Rattus norvegicus: one gene and its partners. The protein of the gene in region 1 interacts with the protein of each later gene in a biochemical or structural test. Links are inferred from orthologs where the notes say so. Each region holds a gene or a part of one and is shown in the gene's direction. Other genes may lie near its edges. The genes, in order: Ptpn3, Scn5a and Rps6ka1.

Region 1 (4,230 bases):
CTCTGTCGGAATTCCCCGGACGCGGCGTTCAAGCAGCGCTGGCAGTGGTGCGCTACCTTGGGACAGGGACTGGGACGTCAGGCACGGCGGAGGGTCTCATGGTGACATGGGAACAAAAGGTTCTCAGGATATCTAGCACCCAGGTCTTAACCATCTCTCCATCCTTTTGTTAACATATTCATTCACCAAAACGTTTTTAGTTCTAACTGGAAGCCTAGCGTCCTTTAGAGGCTGGGTCTCTTGAGAGGCGGAGCCACCGAGCTGACACTGAAGGGTGGTACTCCTTAAGGGGGAATCTAAGTCCAGAAGACAGCCGGTAACAGACTCCAGCTGCCCCTCTGCTCGCCTTTCTGTTTCACAGGCACAGAGCTTGCGCTCATTTCTACACCGGCCTTTTCGTCCCGAGAAAGCTTCCTCCTTCAGCTGTGTGATTGAATGCTATTTGTCACCTGATCTGGTTGTTCCACCAGCTCTCACCGGGCCACTCCTTAGCTTTCTTGCCTGGCCCCTTTCCCCTGTTCTTAAGAATTTTATCACCTAATACACTGCATTGTTTACGGACCTGTTGTTTGTTTCGAGAAACTCCCTTCCAAACTCCCAACAAGGGACTGAAATTTTGTCTATATATTAAGTGTGAAGAACGTAAGTAACTGTTGAATGGATGAGTGATACTGTTTAGAAGGCGATAAAGGACTTGGAGAGGAGCAAGAGGTCAGGGCTAATTTAGAAAGGTAGCTGGAAAGGTACGAAAGGTACCTGAACGATTAGAGGGCGCAGGGCACCAGCAAAGCAGAGGAAAAGGCGTCCTACCCGGAGGGAAAGGCAGTGTAAACGTCTCGAGGCGGGTCAAGTTCAGAGGGTGTGATGGGGAGGAAGGTGCAGTCTGAGCGCAGGAAGGCAGGTGTGGGAGGAGGCGGAAGAGGCCGGCTGGAACGCCGGCCACTAGGGGCCCTGAAGGCTTTGGGAAGGGCTAACCTTCCTGGCGTCCTAGGGCCAGCAAAGGAGCCCCGCGACTCCCAACTCAGCCACGGAGCCGCTGGAGTCGGCGCAACCCCCAACTCAGCCACGGAACCACCGAGCAAGGCTCGCTGTCATTTCAGATTCGTTGTGCGCCAAGCTCTTGCCATTCCTAGGCATGCAATCCCGGAAAGCCAAGCACACAGTAGGTGTTCAGTAAATGCTAAAGGGAATGGCCGTGTGCGTGAGCCAGGGGACTTGGAAGTGTGCGGGAGTTCGGCAGGTGGTCCGCGGAGGCCCGTGAACCACCCGTGAACTGGCTTGCCCCGGGCCCGCCCCTGTCCCGGGTCCCCCGCCCCGCGCGCGGGCCCATCGCGGCCACAGCCGGGCCGGCGGGAGCCGCCCGCGGGCTGCACTGGGCATGCTCAGACAGCGGCCAGGTCGCGGCGCGAGCGAGCTTCCGCGCCGCCCGCCCGCGCGACCTACCTGGGCGCCCGGCGCCCCCGGATGCTGCAGGTATGAGAGACTGGGTCCTCCGCGGGGAGGGTCGGAGCGCGGGCTGCCGCGATGGCGGACACGCGGGGCTCACCCCACCCCCACCCGGTCCGGGGCTCGGCGGACACGCGGGAGGACTAGTGGGAGTGCTGGCAGCCCTGGGTCCCCGCGCCACGTCGGGCATCCGGGGGGTGCAGGCCGGGATCACCTGGCGGGGCTGGGGCGGGGCGTGGGCGGCAAAAGGCTGGGCATTCTGGACGCGGCGGCGCGGGCGTGGGCGTGAGCTCCAGTCTGGCCGAGCCCTGGGCTCGGCGCCGAGGTATCCGCAGCCCAGCAGAGGGGGCGCACGGCTGCGGGGATCCAGCTTCCCGTAGTCCGCGAGGTTCAGCCACTCAGGGCGAATTCGCCCCAGATTGCAAAGATGGCATTTCCTGGGCCTGGCACGAACTCCAGTGCCAAACCAATCCTCCTCGTTCCGCGGGCGAGCGGGGTGGCTTCTCTGACAACTTGCGGTGACTCTGCTGCGTTGTGCGGGGAGAGAGAGCGCCCCGGAAATCCTCGCCCCGGGTTGCTGCTTCCTAAACTTATTACGAACTTGAGAGTTGCCTTTAAAAAATTCATGAGAAGTTAAGATAACTTGGCACCTGAGTGTTCCGTGAAGGTACAGGGAACTTGTGGTTGGGAAATGCGAGACCTAGGTTCAAGTTGGGCTCTTCCCCTTGGCCAGTTGGTGACCTTGGACGAGTCGTTTAACATCTCTGATCCTCCATTTCCTCCCCTGCACGCAGGCAGTAATATTGCCCACCTCGCCTGGCTGGTGGTGGATTAAGTAGGATAAATGGTGTGGAGGTGTTTGGCTCCGTGCCCGGCACAACGCAAGCGAGCAGTTGGCGTGATGTGATTTTAATTCAGTTAAGAGACCCTCGTGGCTCCCATTTCGTCAGGAAGGTAGAATTAGGCAGTCATTTTCTGGGTCTGTGTTTGTGCCCAGGAGACGTCTCCTGAGACTAGCGCTGGTGAGCTGAGAGCCTCTTGTTTAATGGCAGTCTGAGTTCAGAAACTCCAGAAGTTGTCACTCTGGCCTCACTTACAGAAAGAACTATTTTTGCAAGCTGATTCGTGTTGCAAATGTTGAAGCGGATGAATTGGAAAACCTGGTTGGGAAAAAGATGCCTGTGTTGCAAAGCTCTCATGCTTATTAACCTTATGCTCTTGGATCGGGGTCTGTTGGCGTCTCACAGCCGGTTTGAACATTCTTTGTGGTGGGTGCCCCTTGAACATTATAGAGTGCCGAACTGTGCTCAGTAGCAGCCCGATTCCAACTCTGCCTACCAGGAATGCCTCTATATATTGTCTGGGTTTGAAGTGCCTCCCCACCTCCCTGCCCTCTCCCCACTCTTCCTCCTTTTAGTAGAATCAACTGAGATAGCCTCTGCTTTCTGTGTAACCTGGGCGGGCAATGAGGATTTCGTCTGGAGGGTTTTTTTTTTTTTTTTTGGTTTGGTTTGTTTTGGTTTGGTTTGGGTTTTTTGATAACATTGAAACTTCACCTTGCGGAGCTGTGCTGGGTATGTGGATTATCTCATTTCAGCTTTACAGGTCTCCCTCTGAGACTAGTGTCATGCCCATTGAGGCTCTGAGCAGGCAACTGTACCGCCCTGGGCATGACTGGAATGGAGGAAAACCAAGGTTTCTGGTTCTGGGGGACAGAGCTTTTTCTTCTGGATAAGACTGCCATGTGTGGTGTAGAAAGGCCTTACACAGATGTCTTTCTTGATGATTAAATCAAGATCTAAGTTGTATTGGAAACTGGAAGCATTAACAATGGTAAGCTATTTTCTGACAGAGAGCAGGCCATTCAAGTTAAATATCCTAGACTATGAGCGTTCCCATAAATCCCAGCATACAGTTAATGGAATAGCAGTCTGCTGAGAATTAGAATAGAATAAAACATGCCTAATACTCTGTATTGATCTGTGTCGTCCCTGGTGATTTGTCTCCTCCAAAGACTAGTGCATGCAAATTAGACACGAATGGCAGATGGGAGGTTACTGAGGGCATTTAGAATAGCTGAGGCTTGTCTGTGAGCAAATGTTTCTGTTTGGTTGGTGCTGGGCTGTGGGTAGGCAAGACTGGTGAATAAGCCAAGGGACCCCTCCACCACAACCTGGAATCCAGGGCCAGATCTGTGATGGGCCAAGATCTCAGCTCGAACCTTTATTTTACCTGATCTCATAGCAAAGGTATGGTAGCTTTAAATATGTTTGTTGAGGTCTCAACTCCCTGCCAGCAAGACAAGGTCATAGACAGATCTTATCCCAGGAAGAAGTCGGGGTTGTAGGTTGATCTCAGTCCTAGGATGCTAATTGCTCTGCTTTTTGTTGGCTGCGACCTGGAAGTTTAATTACAGTGTTGTGCCCTCCCCGAAACACACACCACACGTATGTGAGCTAGCAGAAACAGAGACCAGAAGTAAGAGAACTTGTTGTGGCCGTCTAAGCTACGTCACAAGTCTGTGAGTGCAAGAGTCACTGTTTTCTAGAACGGGTGTACCTTGCTGGAGAAGCCCTAAGACGTGGTATACTCCTTCCTTTCAGTTCCCGGCGAACGGTGTGTTGGGAAGGGATCGGTGATTTGCGGTCCTCCTCTTGACCGTAATTACAGGGCTCACCTTCCTACATCAGTCAGTTCCTGGAAAGCAAAGCCTGGCCCTTTGTCCTCTCCTCAGACTCTGGCAGGCAGGAGTGCTGGTGGTACCCCAGTCTGGCTCAGCTAGTG
Region 2 (3,644 bases), on another chromosome or scaffold:
ATTCTCTGTAGATACAACAGTCTCCCCATAAGGTGAGGTACCTGCCTCCTTCTAAGTGGGACGCTCTCCTGTGGGTTGTTAGCAAGTGACCTTCCACAGGTGGGACACGCTTTTCTCTGCCTCCAGGCTTTAGGACACTGAGCCCTTGGCCTAGCCACACTGGTGACTTAAAAATACCATGACTTGGGCCCTCAGTGAGGGTGACTTCTGACCCCTTGCTCCTCCAGACCCTGAGGTCCGCAGGAAAGATCTACATGATCTTCTTCATGCTTGTCATCTTTCTGGGCTCCTTCTACCTGGTGAACTTGATCCTGGCTGTGGTGGCCATGGCCTACGAGGAGCAAAACCAAGCCACCATCGCCGAGACGGAAGAGAAGGAGAAGCGCTTCCAGGAGGCCATGGAGATGCTCAAGAAGGAACACGAGGTGAGCTCTCGAGCGGTGGCTGGAGGTGCGGTGCATGCTGGGTAAGACTAGCAGGTGGTGCATTCTGAGTGGAAAGCAGTGCATGCTGGGTAAGACTGGCAGGGGGTGTGTTCTGAGTGGAAGGCGGTGCCTGCTGATCGAGATGGCCCTGTTGGTGTGGTGTGCAATGGGTAAATTTGGTTCCTATGCCACTATGTTTTCTAGGCAAAGATAACACAGAATGGGTGGGGTGCAGGTGACAGTGTCTTGGTAAGCGTGGCCTCTGTGGGCGTAGCCCGTGCCTGGTACAAGATCCTTGTCCATGCGTGTAGCCTGCTCTGGTGGAGGGATACTTCCCGATAGGCTAGTGAGGAAAGTCCAAGGCTGAAGAGGAGCATGGGCCGCCCTGCCCTGGCTCCCACATCCAGGTTCCCTCATGGTAGCTATCAGACTTGGCTACTTACTCTCCCTTCCAGGTTCTTGGTCTTTCTCAAAGCATTGTGGGTCTGCCTGGGATCAACTCTGTGAAGGCCACACTCTGAGTCAATCGTGAAGTCTGATGGGGCAGCTCGCCTAGGTCTGAAGCTAGCCAGAGTTTCTCCATGACCAAACACCCTTTCTCCATCCTTTACCAGGCTCTCACCATCAGGGGTGTGGATACCGTGTCCCATAGCTCTCTGGAGATGTCTCCTTTGGCCCCAGTAACCAACCATGAGAGAAAGAGCAAAAGGAGGAAACGACTATCTTCGGGGACAGAGGATGGTGGGGATGACAGGCTCCCCAAGTCGGACTCAGAAGATGGTCCCAGAGCATTGGTAATCCTGATGTGGTTCTGGCCTCTGCAGAGCCCATCATGGTGGGCCCCGCCCCCCGTGTGGCCACAGCCCTAAGCTTAATCTCCACAAAAGACAGGCTTGGACCCCTCCCATCCCTTTCAGTTTCCTGTAGTCATTCTTAAAGTGGGGGAGAGTTAGGGTGGATTTATGTGTTAATGCTCCTCCTACCTGGAACTAGTCCTCAAGTATGGGGACCAGCACTGGGAGTGGGGGCTTGTGGGGTGGGGTGAAAGGGGCCCAAGTGCTGATCCTAGCTCTCCTGCCCAGCCAAGGCCCCCTCCAGGCCCAGAGCAGCTTCAGAGTCAAACCCAGAGATACAGGGATGAAATGAGCAGAGATCCCACAAGATACAGGGGACACCCCATCTCTTCCTAAGTCCCTACCTCAGCCCTCCCAGGCTCTTGTGGCCAGCAGAAGCCTCGGTGCCCTCAGAACATGAACTGGGCTGACACCAACCATGATAGTTTGGCCGAAGCAGAGTTTGAGCCCTGTGGGTCACGCACCATCCCTGTGCCCTCAGAATCAGCTCAGCCTCACCCATGGGCTCAGCCGGACATCCATGAGGCCCCGCTCGAGCCGAGGGAGCATTTTCACGTTCCGAAGACGGGACCAAGGCTCTGAGGCGGACTTCGCAGATGACGAGAACAGCACTGCGGGGGAGAGTGAGAGCCACCGCACATCGCTGCTGGTACCCTGGCCCCTGCGCCATCCCAGCGCCCAAGGACAGCCCGGCCCTGGAGCCTCAGCTCCCGGTTACGTTCTCAATGGCAAAAGGAACAGCACCGTGGACTGCAATGGGGTGGTTTCCTTGCTGGGGGCAGGTGACGCAGAGGCCACCTCCCCAGGGAGCTACCTTCTCCGCCCTATGGTGCTGGACCGACCCCCAGACACGGTGAGCCAGCCCCCCGGCCTACGAGCACCAGCCCAGATCTGTCTCCCAAACTGGTGATAGGTACCATCCTCAAAACTGCCTGCTGAAGGTTGATCGAGCATCTAGCGTGTGCTCCATTCTCAGAACATCTCTTCCCTTATAGCTTCCGTGCCATCTGGGCAGGCAGACAAGTCAAGAGAAAAAAGGAGAAGACCGAAAGAAAAGTGTCTATGTAAACATGTGTGGTGTAGAAGTGAGGGAAGGAGTCAGGTTTCACACCTGATGCAGAGTCAGTGCCAAGGTGCCACAGTAGAGCAGTGTCCCAGACCCCGTGCGCTGTGTCATGTGCCTTCTGCATCAGCGGGACAGGAACAAGACATCCAGGCAAGCCTGGGACCAGGGCTAGGTCGCAAAGGGGCCCCACAGAGGATTCTAGACAGCACTCACTCAGTGAGTAGGAAACAGTCCACTACTTTACTAACTTGTAACTCCATGCCAGCCAAAATAGTAAGTGCTGGGAGTGGGGAGCAGGAAGAGTAGAGGCATTTAAGCAGCAACCACAAGAAGAGGAGCCGGGGTGGTTTTCTACGTCTGGCAGGGCTGGTGGGTAGAGTGGTTAGTGCCCAAGCTCCGGACATTAGCCTAGGTATGGATTCTAGATCGCAGCGTGACCACTCTTAGCACGTATTTTTGCTCCTCTGGATTTTAAGTGCCTCATCTGTAGAATAGGAGAGAATTACCCAACGTGGCCAGTGTAGGCAGGGCCAAAGACATACAGGAACATAATCGGCACTGTTAAAAATGTCACAGTACCATGCTTTCCATGCCAAAGTGCGCCACACACGGCAAAAGGGCAGACAGCCTGGGGAAGAGCCTGTCTGGCTTATGGCACCGTGAGGGCAGTGAGGCTGGAATGGAGGCAGCCAAATGAGCTGTTGTCAGCAAGGTGGTCACAGTCACGGAAGGTCTTTCGTGGCACACTGGTGACTGCCCGGTCGGCCCCTGCAACTCCTCATACCAGTGCCTGAAAAGCCCGCTCAGGAAAGGCCTGAATGTGTCGCTCACACATACACAGGCAGGATACAACGATGGGGAAACCACAGGACGATGGGATGTTGGTCAGGAAGGTGGAGGGCCCGGTCCACATGGCCACTAGCTGTGGGTCTTTATATGGGTTAATCATCCGAGCCTCAATTTCCTGCAAAGTGGAAATCAGATTTAACACGTACGTCAGCAGGTGGTAGTGGGACCAAGGGAGCTGAAACAGGTCCAGGGCTTAGGCCAGATCTGGCCGCTTGAGCATGTTACTGGTTACCGTTACTGTGTGCTGTTGACACGCGTGAGCAAAGGCTTCTGGGATGCTTCGCCAAGAGTCCAAGCCCTACATAGGGAGTAAGGGGAGGAACTTCAAGACCCCTAAGGGCTGCGGAGACATCTGGGTCCTTCAGGACCGGTCACCTGGAGGGTGGGGTATCTGGTTTCCAGTCTGGCTCTGGAGCCCCAGCCTCAGGCAGGCAGAGCTGGAGCACTAAT
Region 3 (3,644 bases), about 75 Mb from region 1:
AAGCAGGGACCATGTCCCTTTGGTGGCTGAAGCGTGAGGTGTGTTTGAAAGTGACTGGATTAGTTACAACCACACAAGGCCCCTGCCACATCTAGTGAGAGAAACATAAGAATCAAAACACAATAAGATGCGTCTTGACGTCTTGATGGGGAGTGCCAGCTTGTGGGAGCCCAGAGGTCCCAGCCTTGCCTGCAGGGTAGGGATGCTTCCCCGAGGCCGTAAAGTCTGAACTTAGTCAACCAAAAACCTGCTAGTGGTCGGAATTTGCTTGGCATCTTTTTTTATCCCCATCCCCAACCAGACATTCCCGAGACTTGTCATCGAAACGCAGGGTAGAGGTAGAGCAGAAGGATCAGACATTCAAGGCCAGTGTTGGCGACATCATGACTTCCAGGCAAGCCTGACCTACATGAGAGCTTGTCTCAAATAATCCTCCCCAGCAACTGGAGGAAAAGGAAGTTAATAAAACAAGGGAAGGAAGGCTGCTTAGACCCCAGAATGGCGTTTTAATATTACACTTAGAAGCTGTTGTGGAGGATCGAAAGAGGCTTGATAAGTGTGTGCTGAAGGGATACAGAGTCAAAGGCCGGGGACCTCAGAAAATTAAGCACCCTGGGGTACACGGTGCTGCAGGGTCTGGTGGTGGGTGAGGCTAGACAACTGAGCAAGACACAAGGACTATGCCTGGACGTCTCCAGGAGACCAAGAGCCACCTGAGGACCCAGAACATTCCAGAAGGAAAGAATTAGCTGAACGTCCCAAGGGTGAGAGCACCCTGGGGGGGCCTTGGAAGGCTGAGGGAAACCTCACCTAGAGGTGGACTTTGGGGAGAGGCTGTGTTGGGTGTGTTCTACTAGTGCCTTCTTTTCTCCTCTGGCCAGTGCGTGACCGTGTTCGGACCAAGATGGAGAGAGACATCCTAGCTGACGTGAACCACCCCTTCGTAGTGAAACTGCACTATGGTGAGACCCCAGACCCTGCCCAAGTGCCACTCGTCCCCTCAACGTCCACCCTCACCTACAGCCTGCTGCCTTCCTTGTCCCTTGTCCAACTTCTCACGGGCCTGGCCAAGGAGCCCAGAGTAGAGGCATTTGTCACAAGCTGACACTGGCCCAGCTGATCCCACATTGGCTTCCTCCTCTCTTAGCCTTCCAGACCGAGGGCAAGCTCTATCTTATTCTGGACTTTCTGCGTGGTGGAGACCTGTTCACACGACTCTCAAAGGAGGTAAGCTAGCATCCCACCGCTGGGGACCTGACAGAGAGTCCCATCCTGGGCCTGTGGGGAACACTGTCATTGTGGTGCGGCCTGGAACTTCCCGGCTCTGTTTGACAGTCGAGAAATGCCACCTGCCTCTGAGAATTTCTCTCAGGATGGGCTGAAGATGAACGGGGTCTAAAGGTGACACTGCTGTGATTTCTAGTTGCCGATCCCTCAAATGCTTGAGATAGACTGTGTGCTGGCCGAGGGGAAGAGGTCCAAACCCACCCAGGAAGCTAAAGACTTTAAGGTCCTTGTCATGTTGTTGATATAAAAAAAAAAAATACAATACAGGCCTCCACCGCCACAGGAAAAAAATACAAAGGGCCCAGTAGAAAAGGATCTGAACGTCATTTCTCAAAACCAAGATCATTAATACAATCCAACCATGGGAGAGAAGCAAGCTTGACCAGGCATTGTGGCACGGGCCTTAAGTTACAGTTATTTGGGAGACTGAGGCAGGTGGATTACAACATGAAGGCCTGCCTGAGTGACTAAAATATATATGGCTGAGATGTCAGTCAGTGGTAGAGAGTTTGTCTAGAATATACCAAGACCTGATTCAGCCTGGGTGTGGGGAAAGGTCACTCTTTCTGAAACAGCACCGACAGCAAACTTTACATGGGGACACACAGACAGACTCGTGGGCACACAGGTGTGCATATAAAGGCCAGAGGACAACTTGTAGGAATTAGATCGCTGCTTCCACCACATGGGCTCAAAGACACGCAGCCAGTCTTTACCCGGGAGTCTCACTTTCTCAGAAACTTACTTTCAATATTTAAAACATTAATGCTCAGCTGGGCGGTGGCGGCAGCCACACCCTTAATCCCAGCACTCGGGAGACAGACCGGGTGATCTCTGAGTTCAAGGCCAGTCTCGTCTACAGAGCAAGTTCTAGGACAGCCAGGGCTCCTCAGAGAAATAATGGTTCATCAGGCAGTCCATTTTCATGATTCAAAAGAAAGATATGCACGGTCAAGTCTTAATCACTACACAGTCCCTCTACCCCCTGGAAGTAAACATTTTTTTAATTAGTTTTTTTTTTAACCTTCTGTAAATAAATCCTACACATGTTCTGAGTCCCTACCCCTACTTTCTTACATGAGAAGTATTCATTCCTGCGCACTGTCCTGTGCCTGGCCTCGGGTGTCAGTGTGTCTCAGATTGTTCTGCATCAGGACAAGAGCAAACTCCTTGTTCTATGTCATGGCTGCAGAGCTGCCCTTCCCCCCTCCCCAACTGCCCCCACACCCCTCCCTCCACCATCCCACTACCCCCTCCCTCCCCACCCCCTCCTGCGCCAGGAGAGGCGGTTTATTCCAGTCTTTTATTCCTGGGTGTTTCCATTCTTTGCTGTTTCCAAACTCCAGCACAGCGAGCGACTCGGGTATTAAAGATATTGACTCTTTATTACAGTCCGTCTATACAATTAGACTGCGTGTTAGAGAAAGATTAGAGGAAGTTGCATTGCCTACGTCCCCCCCCCCCCCCCAAGCACCAAGAGGCTCCACTGCCCAGTAGCCCGGCTCCTCGGGAACAGGGTGTGCCAGTGGATGGGTGTCTTTTTCCCTGTGGCAGGTTATGTTTACAGAGGAGGATGTGAAGTTTTACCTGGCTGAGCTGGCACTGGGCCTGGACCACCTGCACAGCTTGGGCATCATTTACAGAGACCTCAAGCCTGAGAAGTAAGCGAAGCCCCTGCCATACTCCCGCCCTTTCTCCCGGGTGCAGGGACTGACAGCCCTTGGGCCTTTTAGGACTGGGCCACTCACTCAGTGTGTGGCACTCCCCGGGAACTTATCTCTCTTTGGGGCTGTCAGAGGGGTGGGTGGTTGCAGTGGTTGGCCAGCAGCAAATTCACCGTAGATAATTAGGAAGTGCCTGATAAGTGTGGCTATTACTAAAGGCCGCAGGGCAGCTGTGGGCCCCACCCAGACCTCCTTCCTAATACAGTGTGACATCGGACATGCTGCTGTTAAAAGATCGCTTCTATTTTCTTTCTTTTTTCCCTTTTTTGGGGGCAGGGGGTGGTGTTCAAGACTGGGTCTCTCTGTGTAGACCTGGCTGGCCTCAAACTCACCAAGACCAGCCTGCCTCTGCCTCCCGAGTGCCGGGCCTGAAGGCGTGTATTACTACCGCCCACCTCTAAAGATCATTTCTTTTTTTTTTTTTTTTGGTTCTTTTTTTCGGAGCTGGGGACCGAACCCAGGGCCTTGCGCTTCCTAGGTAAGCGCTCTACCACTGAGCTAAATCCCCAGCCCCTAAAGATCATTTCTTGATCTGTTCATTCTGGGGTTGGCCAATGAACTGCCTTCCAGTGCTGTCTGGAGAGCTGGGATAGATCCTGTTGGTAGAGTCAGACACATGCTAAGTCAGGCGTT

The links.
Region 2: the proteins of Ptpn3 (region 1) and Scn5a form a complex in vitro, tested with the Homo sapiens proteins (2 studies listed by IntAct, with this or other methods). The link is inferred for Rattus norvegicus from reciprocal best matches to the Homo sapiens genes PTPN3 and SCN5A.
Region 3: the proteins of Ptpn3 (region 1) and Rps6ka1 interact in a test that uses a peptide from one of them, tested with the Homo sapiens proteins (2 studies listed by BioGRID and IntAct). The link is inferred for Rattus norvegicus from reciprocal best matches to the Homo sapiens genes PTPN3 and RPS6KA1.

The regions. Positions count from the first base shown.
Region 1 is NC_086023.1:76,818,376-76,822,605, reverse strand, and holds the start of Ptpn3 (tyrosine-protein phosphatase non-receptor type 3), read left to right. Parts: upstream 1-1,384; 5' UTR 1,385-1,473; exon of another isoform or gene 1,474-2,246; intron 2,247-4,230.
Region 2 is NC_086026.1:128,147,847-128,151,490, reverse strand, and holds part of Scn5a (sodium channel protein type 5 subunit alpha), read left to right. Parts: intron 1-227; coding exon 228-425; intron 426-1,039; coding exon 1,040-1,219; intron 1,220-1,760; coding exon 1,761-2,132; intron 2,133-3,644. UniProt on the Homo sapiens protein: Pore-forming subunit of Nav1.5, a voltage-gated sodium (Nav) channel that directly mediates the depolarizing phase of action potentials in excitable membranes.
Region 3 is NC_086023.1:151,381,511-151,385,154, reverse strand, and holds part of Rps6ka1 (ribosomal protein S6 kinase alpha-1), read left to right. Parts: intron 1-881; coding exon 882-962; intron 963-1,147; coding exon 1,148-1,227; intron 1,228-2,841; coding exon 2,842-2,948; intron 2,949-3,644. UniProt on the Homo sapiens protein: Serine/threonine-protein kinase that acts downstream of ERK (MAPK1/ERK2 and MAPK3/ERK1) signaling and mediates mitogenic and stress-induced activation of the transcription factors CREB1, ETV1/ER81 and NR4A1/NUR77, regulates translation through RPS6 and EIF4B phosphorylation, and mediates cellular proliferation, survival, and differentiation by modulating mTOR signaling and repressing pro-apoptotic function of BAD and DAPK1.